Linked DNA regions of Elephas maximus indicus. The protein of the gene in region 1 purifies or fractionates together with the protein of each later gene. This does not show direct contact. Links are inferred from orthologs where the notes say so. Each region holds a gene or a part of one and is shown in the gene's direction. Other genes may lie near its edges. The genes, in order: HECTD1, URGCP and SMC2.

Region 1 (3,746 bases):
GGAATTCCCATTCTTCACAATGTTATCCATAATTTTTTATGATCCACACAGTCGAATGCCTTTGCACAGTCAATCAAACACAGGTAAATATCTTTCTGGTATTCTCTTTCAGCCAAGCTCCATCTGATATTAGCCTTGGAGGCCCTGTGGGGGTAGTTGTGCTCTGTCCTGTAGGGTTGCTATGAGCTGGAATTGACTTAATGGCAATGGGTTTATTGTAGTTGTAACAAGATAGTGGAATCATTTACTTGGTTGATTTGTTAATAAGAGACTTAAGGGGCAATTACCCAAAAACTATAAAACTAGCTATATGAAGTGCAAATCTGCAATTTCCAAAACAGTGGTTCTTCAAACATACTTAGCAGTTCATCTGATTTCTTAAGGGAACCTGTCTCAAATAGTATCACAAACATTCATTTTTTTAAATCTCAAAGACGAAAAAGTAAGAACACAGCAAAAGTCTCTGGGAGCATCGGTTTCCTTGCCTCACGAAGGAAATTCATTTCTTGATTTTTTAAAAAGAAAGCTATCTTCACGTTTCCAGATAATTACATCCTAAACATCTCCAAGTATGTACTATAAGTAGGCATATTTTATTTTCAGGGCGTATGAAATGTAACTTTGAAGTGACCATAAGCTACCACTCAGTGCTGCTGCTTACTGGGGGTGCCTTTGTGTCTGAATTCATGTTTTCCGGAAGCCTCAGTTTTCTCATCTATACAATGGAGGTAACACTTGATAATACTTCCCAGGGTTCCTGTGAAAGGTTTTCTTTCTGGTGAACTGCAGGGCTGTTTGTCTCCCAGGACCGAAGGGAGGCGCTTTTCTTCACTGGAGGGCCACCAGCGCTCAGCTAATCTTTAGCCTAGAATTAACACTTCCATGTGCTAGGAGCGTGGCCAGAGGGGAAGGAGGAGAAGCGCTGGCGGAGTATTGGTCGCCGAGGCCGGAGGCTCACCACGAACAGGTTGGGCCGCAGCCTTGACGTGCAGCCAGGGCTGCCCGGTAAGTATGAACACACGGTGCAAAACAAGCTGAGCGTGCGTGCACGGTGGTGCGCGGAGTGCTGGGAGTGGCCTCCAACTGACAGCCAGACGAAAAGGACGCCAGAGCGGACGACAGGAAAACGGTGGCAAATACCCGAGGGAGCCCAAGGCCCGGGACCGAGAGCGCCCGGCAGGGGTTGAGACGCGTCCAGCCGCCGGGCGCCCAGGTTGGTGCCCGGGCGCGGTGGGCCGGCCCCTCTCCGCAGCGCCCCAGGTGGCCGCTGGCGGGGTCGCCGCCGGGAAAGCAGATTGGCTCCGCCTCCGCCAGGCTCGGCTGCCCTCGGCAGCTTCCCCCGCCCGGCTCTCGCTCGACCCTCTTCCCTTCCCCCTCCCGGATCGCGATGGACGCGGCCTCCTCCCGCAGCCGCCGGCAGAGCCGCGCGGGCCTCTGAGCCGCAGAGCCTGACGATCCTCGTGCTAGGGACGGACCCTGGCTGGCCGCCGCCTCTGGGGAGAACCTCTCGCTTCTCTGTCATCAGGTCCCCGTGGAGGAAGGGGAGGGACGAGGCGCGGCTTTTCCTGTGCCGCTTGCCTGGCTCGACCTGCGCGGCCTGCGGCTTCCTGGGAACTCGAGGGCCGCGGCCGGGCCTGACTCTGCCCCGCGGCCTGCTTGGAGCTGGACCGGAGTGGTCTGGGACTACAAGCCTGGGTAAGAGCCTGCGGGAAGGGGAGGCGGCAGCGCCTCGGGCCGTCGGAAGTGCCGGGCCTGGGGGCCGGCATCCGGGACGCCCGGCGGTGGGTCGGGAGCGAGACCTCCTTGCCGGGTGAGGCCGGCGGGGTTGCTCCTGTTCCCCTGCTTAGCCCCTTTGTTCCCCTCCCCCCGGCGCTGCCGCGGCGGGGCCCAGCTTACACACCGAAGCCAGAGCCCAAGGCAGGCCCCCCTTTGCCCTTGAGAAGGCTTCGGCGCCCGGCGGGGGCGAGGGATGTCCCGCCGGGCCTCGGAGTTCCGGACGCCGCTCCCGGGAGACCCGCCGCTTAGCCCAGCCCGACAGGCTCCTCTCGGGCACCGAGGCTTGCTGCTTCTCCTTCAGAACTTCCCCCTTCTCCTAGACAGAGGTGGCTAACTTAGCGGGTCTGGTGCTGGGAAACTGGAGGGCGGTGCTAGCGCCGCTTGGCACGGGCTTGGCCGGGCCCGGGATGTTGGGGTAACCCGGTTCGTCGCCGCCGTTGGGTGCCCACTGGGACCCGCCGCTGGATTCACACACCTGCAGTTGGGTGACGTGGGACCCAAAGCCGTCCTCCGGCCAGTTCGGGCGCTTACGAAGAGCTTTTGTGATGACTTGCCTATTGGGGTTGCTTCTCTGTTTTGTGTTACTGTATTATTATTTTTAACCAACTACCCATCCTGTGGGGGTGGGGGAAAGAGGGCAGTAGAGTGGCCTATAGTATTCTGATCCGTAACGTGTAAGTCCATTGCATTACTTTTAGCATTTCTCGTTAAAGTTTTTAGAATAGTTGTCAAGACTGCCAAAATTCCTAAACCAAGTCTTTGTTTATATATAGGTTATCTCATTATCGTTTGTATTTGGAGATCTTTAGAAAAGGAGTAAGTAAATTGGGAAGTCAGCAGAATTTGTAAAAGGAGAAAATCAATTTGGGAGGGATCCTACTGCTTAGAATCTACTCAAAATTGGATCTGACCTTTATCTGAAGATCAGTTTTGAGTAGGGGAGGGCCGAAGAAGTTTGCTGGAAAAAAAAGGGGGGGGGGCGGTTTAGTAGGTATTCTTTGCCTTTTTGGCACAGACATTAGTGATAGCAGTAGTGGGAAACGAAGCCTGTTTGACTGTCTTTGACAAAGGCAGCTCAGTTTCTAGTTAAGCAGCAACCTAATCAGCTTATACTGTTGTGCAAAACCGGTTTTTATTTAGTATGATATCCCAGTGTTAAGTCCCAGCAATAAGGGAAGTTGAGAAACGGCATTAGCACTCTGTCCAAACATACTTGTGAGTCTTTTCCTAGGAGGACAACATGAAAATTTGGCTCTAGCCGATGTAAAAGAAAGTTTTTAAACCCAAGCTGACATTTAAAGGGCCTTTTTTCCTTTTTTTTAAATTTAAGCAAAGAGGCTTTTAAAAAACCATGGCAGATGTGGATCCGGATACATTGCTGGAATGGCTACAGATGGGACAGGGAGATGAAAGGGACATGCAACTAATAGCCCTTGAACAGCTATGCATGCTGCTTTTGATGTCTGACAACGTGGATCGTTGTTTTGAAACGTAAGTACATCCCTTCATCATCTTTCTTTGGGGTTGCTGCAGTGACATCTGTTTTCAGCCGTTTGTTGACTTCAGTTTGTTTAGAAATTTCTCTAGTGAATTTTTGAGCTGTTGCCTTTTTAAAAGTTCCTACAGAATTTTCCATTTACGCTTTTCTGAGAAATAGAATTGGTAGATGAAGTAACTCCAGTGACTGTAATGGTGATGACACAAATATAGTTTTGTTGAGTGGATTGGTAATTAGTAGGAAATACTAATTTTAACCCATAGCTTGGTTGATGCATTTTCAAAATATGTTATTAAAGCTGGGTAAAATGCAGATATTTATCTTCTTTAAAGGTATCTATTTCTGTACTGTGAAATTGACTTACAGAATAACATAGATGATAATGAGCATATATGTTTTGAACTGCCCAGTCCTTCGTTGGTATTAGGTCATATGACATTGTACTTTTGTTAAAGCAAGCCATTTGTAATTT
Region 2 (3,746 bases), on another chromosome or scaffold:
TCTTGTTTATTGGCCAATACGAGTCATGCCAAGCAAAACCTGGGATTTCCACGTAAAACAATGGGTTCAAGATATCAAGAACTGTGAGGATAGTGCAGGACTGGGCAATGTTTTGTTCTGTTGTTATAGCCAACTCCTTGGCAACTACCAACTATGGCTCCAGAGCCAAGGCTTTCAGTCACCACTTTGCAGTCTCAGGTTAGTATTAATATAAATGATAATAAGATAATGATTATTAGTATTTAATGTTCTAACAACAAGTGCTATCAACAATGGTTTACATTTGTCCAGAACATTTTAAGTGTTTTGACTTACAAAACTCATTGCTGTAGAGTAGATTCTGATTCATAGCCCCCTATTGGACAGAGTAAACCTGCCCCATAGGGTTTCCAAGGAGCAGCTGGTGGATTCAAACTGCCGACCTTTTGGCTAGCAGCCAAACGCTTAACCACTTGTGCCACCAGGGCTCCTTTCACTTACAAAAGCTTAGTTATTCCTGAAGTCTCATTTTGCAGAGACAGGAGTTAAGTCTCAAGAAGTACTTGCCTAAGTATATACAGCTGTAGGTGGAGCTATGAAACCGCATCGTTCCTTAATAACACAATTCAAAGAATAATAAAATGCCCCACATCCCTTAGGACTTCACAATGTGATCTTACCCACATTTTAGATGGGGTAACTGAGGCACAGAGAGGCCAGCAACTTGTCCAAGACTACAGAGCAAGTAAGAATAGGAAAATTATCTTTGTTGCTTAATAATAATAATAACAATGCATTACCCTCCAGGGCTAAACAAAAAGCTTTTCTTACGGAAATCAAGCCTGAGTCTCAGGGAGGGGTGGAATTTGCCTGACCCCGCGGCTGCTTTGTGGCCCCGGGAAGGTTTGGCCCCGCCTGTGCTACCCGGCGTGTCTCTGATCACCGGGGCGGGCGCGGGGAAGTCGGGGGCACGGAGCGCGGGGCGCGGGCCGCCCCCGGCCCTGCCGCTCTGCCTGGAGCGTGGCCCAGAACGGGTGGCCCGAGGCGGCGGGCGGAGGCCCCTCCCCGGCGCGGAGTCGCCGCGCGGAGGAAGCGGAGGAGGCGGGAGCCGCGACCTCACCGCGCTCATGGCGTCGCCCGGGTGAGTGCCGCACTCGGAGCGCCGGACCGAAGCCGCTGCGTCCGCGCCGCGAAGGAGTGGGTTGGGGGGGTCTCCGGGCCCCGAGCCCACCGCGCCCGCCCGGGCCTGTGACCCAGCCCGGCCAGAGGGACTCCCTCCCCACCCGCCCCGACCGGCCGGGCCCGGCCTGCAGCCTTTCCGGCCGGGAGGCCGGGTCCTGCCGACCTTGGGCGGACGCGGTGGGCGCTGCCGTGGCCGAGGCGGTGTGCGTAGAAGGAGCGCCAGGCCGCGGGGCAGTGCGCGCAGTCACTGTGCCGAGGGCGGCTGAGGGAGAGCGGCCCGGCCCGGGGTGCGGGGCCGCGGGCCCAGGTGCGGCAGGTGGCGCGGGATGTGGGGCCTGGTGCGGGATGCGGGGCGGGGTGTGGGGTGGGGTCGCGTGCCGGAGTGCCGGGCGGGGTGCGGGGCAGGGTGCAGAGCCGGGTGCAGAGCCGGGTGTGGGCCTTCGGGCCGGGCGGGGAAGTGTGCTGAGGGAGACCTGTGAGCGGTTTGACCCCAGGGCGCCGAATACACAGGTCCTCAGATTTCTGGCATCTCTGTTTTTTAAACTTGCTCGCGTGGAGTTTATGTTTGGTTTTCGCTGTCCTTAGGACGTAACCTGAATGCCACAGAATGTCAGGCTGAGAGCGTACCGACACTTTGCTGCCAAGCGCTTCCGAAGGCGTCCCAGGGTCTCCTTGGTCAGACTGTGGCCTTGGGCCTTCCCTCAGGACTGCCGTATCCTAACATCGCCTCCCTTCCCCTGTTTTGGTGTTAAGAATGCGTTTTCTTTTAGGAAATGGTGGTGACAGACATAGTTTGTAATTTTTTTTTTTTCCCCTAATCTTCTCTTGGCAAAATAAAAACCCCAGAAATCCGTTATTATTACTTTTTTGTTTTGGTTAGTGGTCCTTTAAATCTGGGGATGACACTTAATCTAATGTCTTCATTTTATAGAGGAGGAAAATTAGGCCCCCAAAGCAATGCCTTGGTTGGCAAATTCTTCATTTGGTTGTTGCCCACCACTCAGAGGGTCTTAGGCCTAGTGACTGTGAACAATTAAAGTTGTACATCTTTATAGTTCACAAAGGGCTTTCACAGATATTACCATCAGGCCTGTGAGGTAGAAACTATGGGTACTGTAATGCCTCTTTTACAGGTGCAGTGATTTGGCTCAGTGAAATGGGCCTTAGTGAGCAAGCTGGGATTTGAAGCCAGGCCTCCAGACTGTAGCCAGGCCTTGGGCAGTTTCCATCTGCCTGCTGTCTCTCTAGGCTTAGAGGGCAATGGTCAGTCCTGGGCCAGGGAGTCCTTGCTTGGCTTTCTTAAAACTACTAGGACTATTCCTTACCTGCCTGACCAGATTCTCGTTTGCCTGGTTGTTCAGTGTTGGCTTTTCCTTGTTTCTGTAGTCAATCTCTGCTACAACACGTTCTTTCTGCATGATCATATCCATCTCTATGGCTTTAACTGTCATCTCGGTCTGGGGCTCTTAACCTAGGGTCCATGATTCATGAATGGGCTTCTGGGGTCTCTGTGTTCCCTGTAATTGTATGCAGCGTTGGGGGTGGTGTGTGTTTTCCTGGGACCAAAGTCTGTGGCCTTTATCTGATTCTTGAAGGGACCCTTAGCCTTAATGTTACACCGGTCCAGCAGAGTACCCAGTACTTTGACCTCATAAATGGAATAAATAGGCCCATCCCTGGGAAGTCTAGACCAATTTACTCAGGGGTTCAATGTCCCCTGCATTCCTGCTCTGTTTATCAGAAGAGAGTGAGGCTGGCGAGCCTAATGGCAGCAGCGATGGTGTTGGGGCCTGTGTCAGGCTGCTGTGATGCTTTTCTTAAGAATCATGATGAACTGTGGCTAGTCCAGGCCATGTAGGCTTTGGCACCCAAGTACATTGCTTTGTAGACATGGGTCAGAGGTGGACTTAATGCTGGGCTGGCACCCCTTCTGTGAGCCAGATAGGTCCTAAATGATATCTCTGTAGTAGGTAGCATGAGTGCAGATTTAATATTTACAATTTCAACTATTTGTGAGTTACTCCATGAGTCAGCAATCTGTAGTAATCTGTAGTTTTCTGAGTGGCACCCATTGCAAAGCTAGGGTCACAAAACTTTCAGTATGCTTTAATTCATTTTAGGGGAGAATTATGCTCTTATTATGGTACATACACATTTGGGGACAGTCCATGTTTCTGGACCTATCTAGGTTGTCCACTGTATAGGCTTCGCTGGTGGGCCCAGTCCAGCCAGGGAGACAGTCTCCTGGGATTCTGTGGCCTGTCTTGGTCAGCTAAGCAGCTAACCTTAAGCCTACTAGACTAGGTGCGGTAGAAAAAAATTTCAAGGGACAGGCAAGGGTAGGAGGGGAGTGGTGAGTCTCCAAAACCCGTTCTTTTCTGTGTGGCAACCTCCATGAGAGAGTTGGAGAGGAAAGAGGAAATCCTAACAATTTTTGAGGACCTTCGTAATTGTGCTTAAGGAAATGGCAAGAATGTAGACTTCAGAGGGAAAGATATGTTTGAGAGGTGACCCACTGACCAGTGTATTTGGAGCTAAGTGGAGACAAGGCCAGAGGAGGAGGCAGGGACCAGACTGGGAGCTGG
Region 3 (3,746 bases), on another chromosome or scaffold:
ATTTTCCATAGTAAGAGGTTTCCAATATAATTCCCTGAAATCCCCCAAGAAAGTTCTGCCACGGTACATTATAACTTTACATACAGCTCTTCAACGCAAGACGAACACCTGCTTGCCAAGCACAGTCCTTTTCTTAACTACTAACGTCAAACACCTACTTGCCCGCCCCACCTTCTCCTCTGGGCCCCAGCACAGCTGTAGGCTGCGAGTATCATCACCTCCTCCGGACGTGAAAACAGAGAATTAACCCCCCCGCCCCGTCAGAAGCCGAGGAGAGGCGGAGCCAGAACGCGCGCGACCCAGAGTCCTCAGAATCCCCTCGCCCACACAGTCCCAACAAAGCGCCTCTTCTGTTTCTGTGGCATCTGGGCCAACCCGGAGATTCTCTGACGCTTCTAATACACAGCGAAGGCACCCAGAGGAAAACCTTCACACCTGCCGGCCTCCCCATCTCTGTGAGCCGACACAGCCGCAGCCCGCCCCACAGCCCGCCAGGTCCTCGAGGAGGCGGAGCTTCCAAGGCGAGGTCCGCAAAGAGGCGGGGCCTGGAGCGGGGCGGGGCTGACGAAGCTCGAGGCCCCAAGGCTGAGGCTTGGGTCTGCCCGAGGTGTGCCGGACGCCCATATCAACATATGCCGCTTACTTTTGGGGTAGCCAGGACGGCGCCGCCGCGTACCCGGAACTGTCATGGCCAGAACTTTCTTTCCCATCTCTCTGTCATTTAGATCCCTAGATTGTAGGGAAAACATGGAACGAGGAAATCAGGCAACTTTTAGGCGCCAACAGAGGAAATAGGCTGTGGAGGCGGGGTCCTTTGCTCGCGCCTAAATTCAAAGGAATAAATAGTTCCGGCACCGGTGCTGGCCGCGGGGCGAGTGTTGTAGCCGGTATGGTGGAGCACACATCCTAGCGCCCGAAGGCGGGCGAATTTCACCCGCACTCCACCCTTGTGGCCTCGCGGAGCCCTCGGGCGTCTCTAGCCCAGGCGGCCTGAGGCAGCGACGAGGTCGGTGCGTGAGCGCGGCTGGTTGGGCCTTGTATTCCCGGCGGTAGGTTGGGGTGGATGAGTAGCAAGGAGGGTCTCAGTTGGGAATTAAGGCAGGAAGGCTCATTTCTGTGCAGCTTTGGAGTGTGGTGGGGGAGTGTTGGCAGAAAGCCTGGTGAGGCGAGGTAACAAACAGCCTGAGTAGAAGCAGGAGTCTGGAGAATATATGCGGTTCGTCTATTTACCGACCCCTCAGACTCAGTCACTATTAGGGGATAGAGCGGTGGATGTAAACAGAAATCTTAGGGGACCTTACATTATAATAGGTGGGACAGACAAATACGGTCTAGTATCACCCTTAAGTGCAACGAAGGAAAAAGAAAGGGTGAGTAGATGAGCAGAAATGCAATTTTACATGGGGAGGTCAGGAAGAACCTTTGAGAAAAGATGTGAATGCAGTAGAGTGCCACGTGGTATTGTTTTTTTTTTTTCGGGGGGGCGGGGGTGGGCAGTTTACAGGCAAAGGGTGTGAAATAATCAGTTTAGCTAGAATATGATAGAGGTAGAAGGCAGGTCTAGAAAAGTAAATCGGGAAAGTTCTAAGGACTTTGGGTTCCAGGCAGAAGTTTCATTAACTTCTAAATCGTGGTTAACTCTATCGTGATTTTAAATAAGGGAACGATATCTTTACATCAGAGTTAGCTTGGCAAGTGGCTGTTTTATTTCTTTTGGGCTGTCATGCCTATGTTTTAGTCTTTCACATTCAGTATGAGTCCAGTCTTGCCTTCCACTTACATTTTGTTATTTTTGTTTTGTACAGAACTAGTTTGTGACCTGTTTGATCGTAGCAGAGGTTTACCAGTCCAAGGCAATTGTGAAAATGCATATTAAGTCAATAATTCTGGAAGGATTCAAATCCTATGCTCAGAGGACTGAAGTCAATGGTTTTGACCCCCTCTTCAATGCTATCACTGGTTTAAATGGTAGTGGAAAATCCAACATATTGGACTCTATTTGCTTTTTGCTGGGCATCTCTAACCTGTCTCAGGTAAAGTGTAAACTTTCTAATTTGTATGAATTTAAGTTTGGCAAGGAAGTCTTCACTGAGCTTAGAAACTATTGCTACCATTCTTTTTTCCTTTGATATTTAAGTACTGTGTTTTGTATGTTATGTGAATTATCTTAAATCTCACTGCAACTGTTGAAGATGAGTACAATTATCACTCTATTTTTAAATGAGAAAATAGAAACTTTGCGGGTTAAGAAATTTGCCTGAGGTTCATCTTCTTAGGGTATGCTGGAGCAACACTCAAACTCAGACATCCTTACTTTAGGCAGCCTCATCCTGGAGTCTGTATTTTTTCTCCTGCACTGTAATGCCTGTAGAGGACCTACTACTAATGGGCGTGAATGAATAGCAAATTTCTTAGGCACTGTCTTCCCTTAAATCTTTCCGATGGACTTTTGCTAAGAAACAGTAGAAAACCAGTTCAGGGTTGATGATGTCCTAGAGAGAAAGGTGCCCGTTGTAGTTTGCCTGTTTTCCTTGCCAGTAGATGCCACTACTTATCCTTGACTACTTAATGGATGCAGCATAGGTGGGCTTTCCAAAAGCAAGAAGTACATTTGCTACTTTGTGCACTATGGGGTTTTATAATTAATAATTTTTCTCCTTCTGTTTTAGGTTCGGGCTTCTAATTTACAAGATTTAGTTTACAAGAATGGGCAGGCAGGTATTACCAAAGCCTCAGTGTCAATCACCTTTGATAATTCTGATAAAAAGCAAAGTCCTTTAGGATTCGAGGTACATGATGAAATCACAATAACAAGGCAGGTGAGTGACTACTCATATTTGATACCATTTTTAGTAATATGGCTTTACACAAAGTGCAGGAGATAAAGAAAAGTCACGAGTAGAATTGACACCTCAAATACTGGCTCATTCTTCAAGAATACTTTTTTTGTGTCAGAATTTTGATCTTGGAAATTCCAGCATTAACTGAGAGAATCGAAAGGGGCCTGAAGTTATCCATTCAGTATAAGTACTCAACCATACTTGAATCTTAAACCATACTTGAACCTTCTCTGTCTGTGCTAGAATACCTCCAGTACCTGGGATCTTACTGTCCTCTGAGGTAACCCATTCCATTTGGACAGGTGTAATTAAAATAGGGCTTCTATAAATTGGCCAGAGTCTGCTTTTTTGTAGCCTCATACATTAATCTATATATTTGAGAGCTCCAAGAGCAAATCTTATTTATTCCATATTCCAGCATTTAATTCTTAGCTGTACTCTAAGCTAAAGCTCTCCAGTTCTTTTAATTGATGTTTAATTGTTTTCATTTTCTTCACTTGCATGACCACTCTAAATATGTTCCAGTTCTTTATAATTTTTTCTGTTTTTAAATGAGTTGTGCCTCAAATCGAGCATATACCAGCATTGGTCTTGTTAGAACAGGATTAAGTCAAATTGTTAACTTCTTTCCTTTTAGGTTTTCTACCTCTGTATTACGCAGTGTGGCATTGGAGGGTTCATAATACCTTACAAATTCGTACTGAATTTACTTAAAACCACTTTTAATTTTTATATGTGCAGTATCACTAAGCTATGTTACTACCATGTTTGTATCTTTTAAGTTACTTTAAACCAACGCAGGACCATACATTTCTCTTTTTAAACTTTTTTCTTATACTCTAACCATGTTATCAGCTTGTCATGGTTTTCTTTTTAATTCTGTTAATGCCCATTTACTTTCTCCCA

The links.
Region 2: the proteins of HECTD1 (region 1) and URGCP purify together in Homo sapiens (affinity purification with mass spectrometry; 4 studies listed by BioGRID and IntAct, with this or other methods). This does not show direct contact. The link is inferred for Elephas maximus indicus from reciprocal best matches to the Homo sapiens genes HECTD1 and URGCP.
Region 3: the proteins of HECTD1 (region 1) and SMC2 purify together in Homo sapiens (affinity purification with mass spectrometry; 3 studies listed by BioGRID, with this or other methods). This does not show direct contact. The link is inferred for Elephas maximus indicus from reciprocal best matches to the Homo sapiens genes HECTD1 and SMC2.

Annotation. Positions count from the first base shown.
Region 1 is NC_064828.1:43,628,969-43,632,714, reverse strand, and holds the start of HECTD1 (E3 ubiquitin-protein ligase HECTD1), read left to right. Parts: upstream 1-1,604; 5' UTR 1,605-1,695; intron 1,696-3,106; 5' UTR 3,107-3,127; coding exon 3,128-3,267; intron 3,268-3,746. UniProt on the Homo sapiens protein: E3 ubiquitin-protein ligase which accepts ubiquitin from an E2 ubiquitin-conjugating enzyme in the form of a thioester and then directly transfers the ubiquitin to targeted substrates.
Region 2 is NC_064826.1:121,605,213-121,608,958, forward strand, and holds the start of URGCP (up-regulator of cell proliferation), read left to right. Parts: upstream 1-907; 5' UTR 908-1,106; coding exon 1,107-1,120; intron 1,121-1,297; exon of another isoform or gene 1,298-1,468; intron 1,469-3,746. UniProt on the Homo sapiens protein: May be involved in cell cycle progression through the regulation of cyclin D1 expression. May participate in the development of hepatocellular carcinoma (HCC) by promoting hepatocellular growth and survival.
Region 3 is NC_064827.1:53,702,964-53,706,709, forward strand, and holds the start of SMC2 (structural maintenance of chromosomes protein 2), read left to right. Parts: upstream 1-841; 5' UTR 842-1,010; exon of another isoform or gene 1,011-1,049; intron 1,050-1,805; 5' UTR 1,806-1,865; coding exon 1,866-2,033; intron 2,034-2,669; coding exon 2,670-2,819; intron 2,820-3,746. UniProt on the Homo sapiens protein: Central component of the condensin complex, a complex required for conversion of interphase chromatin into mitotic-like condense chromosomes.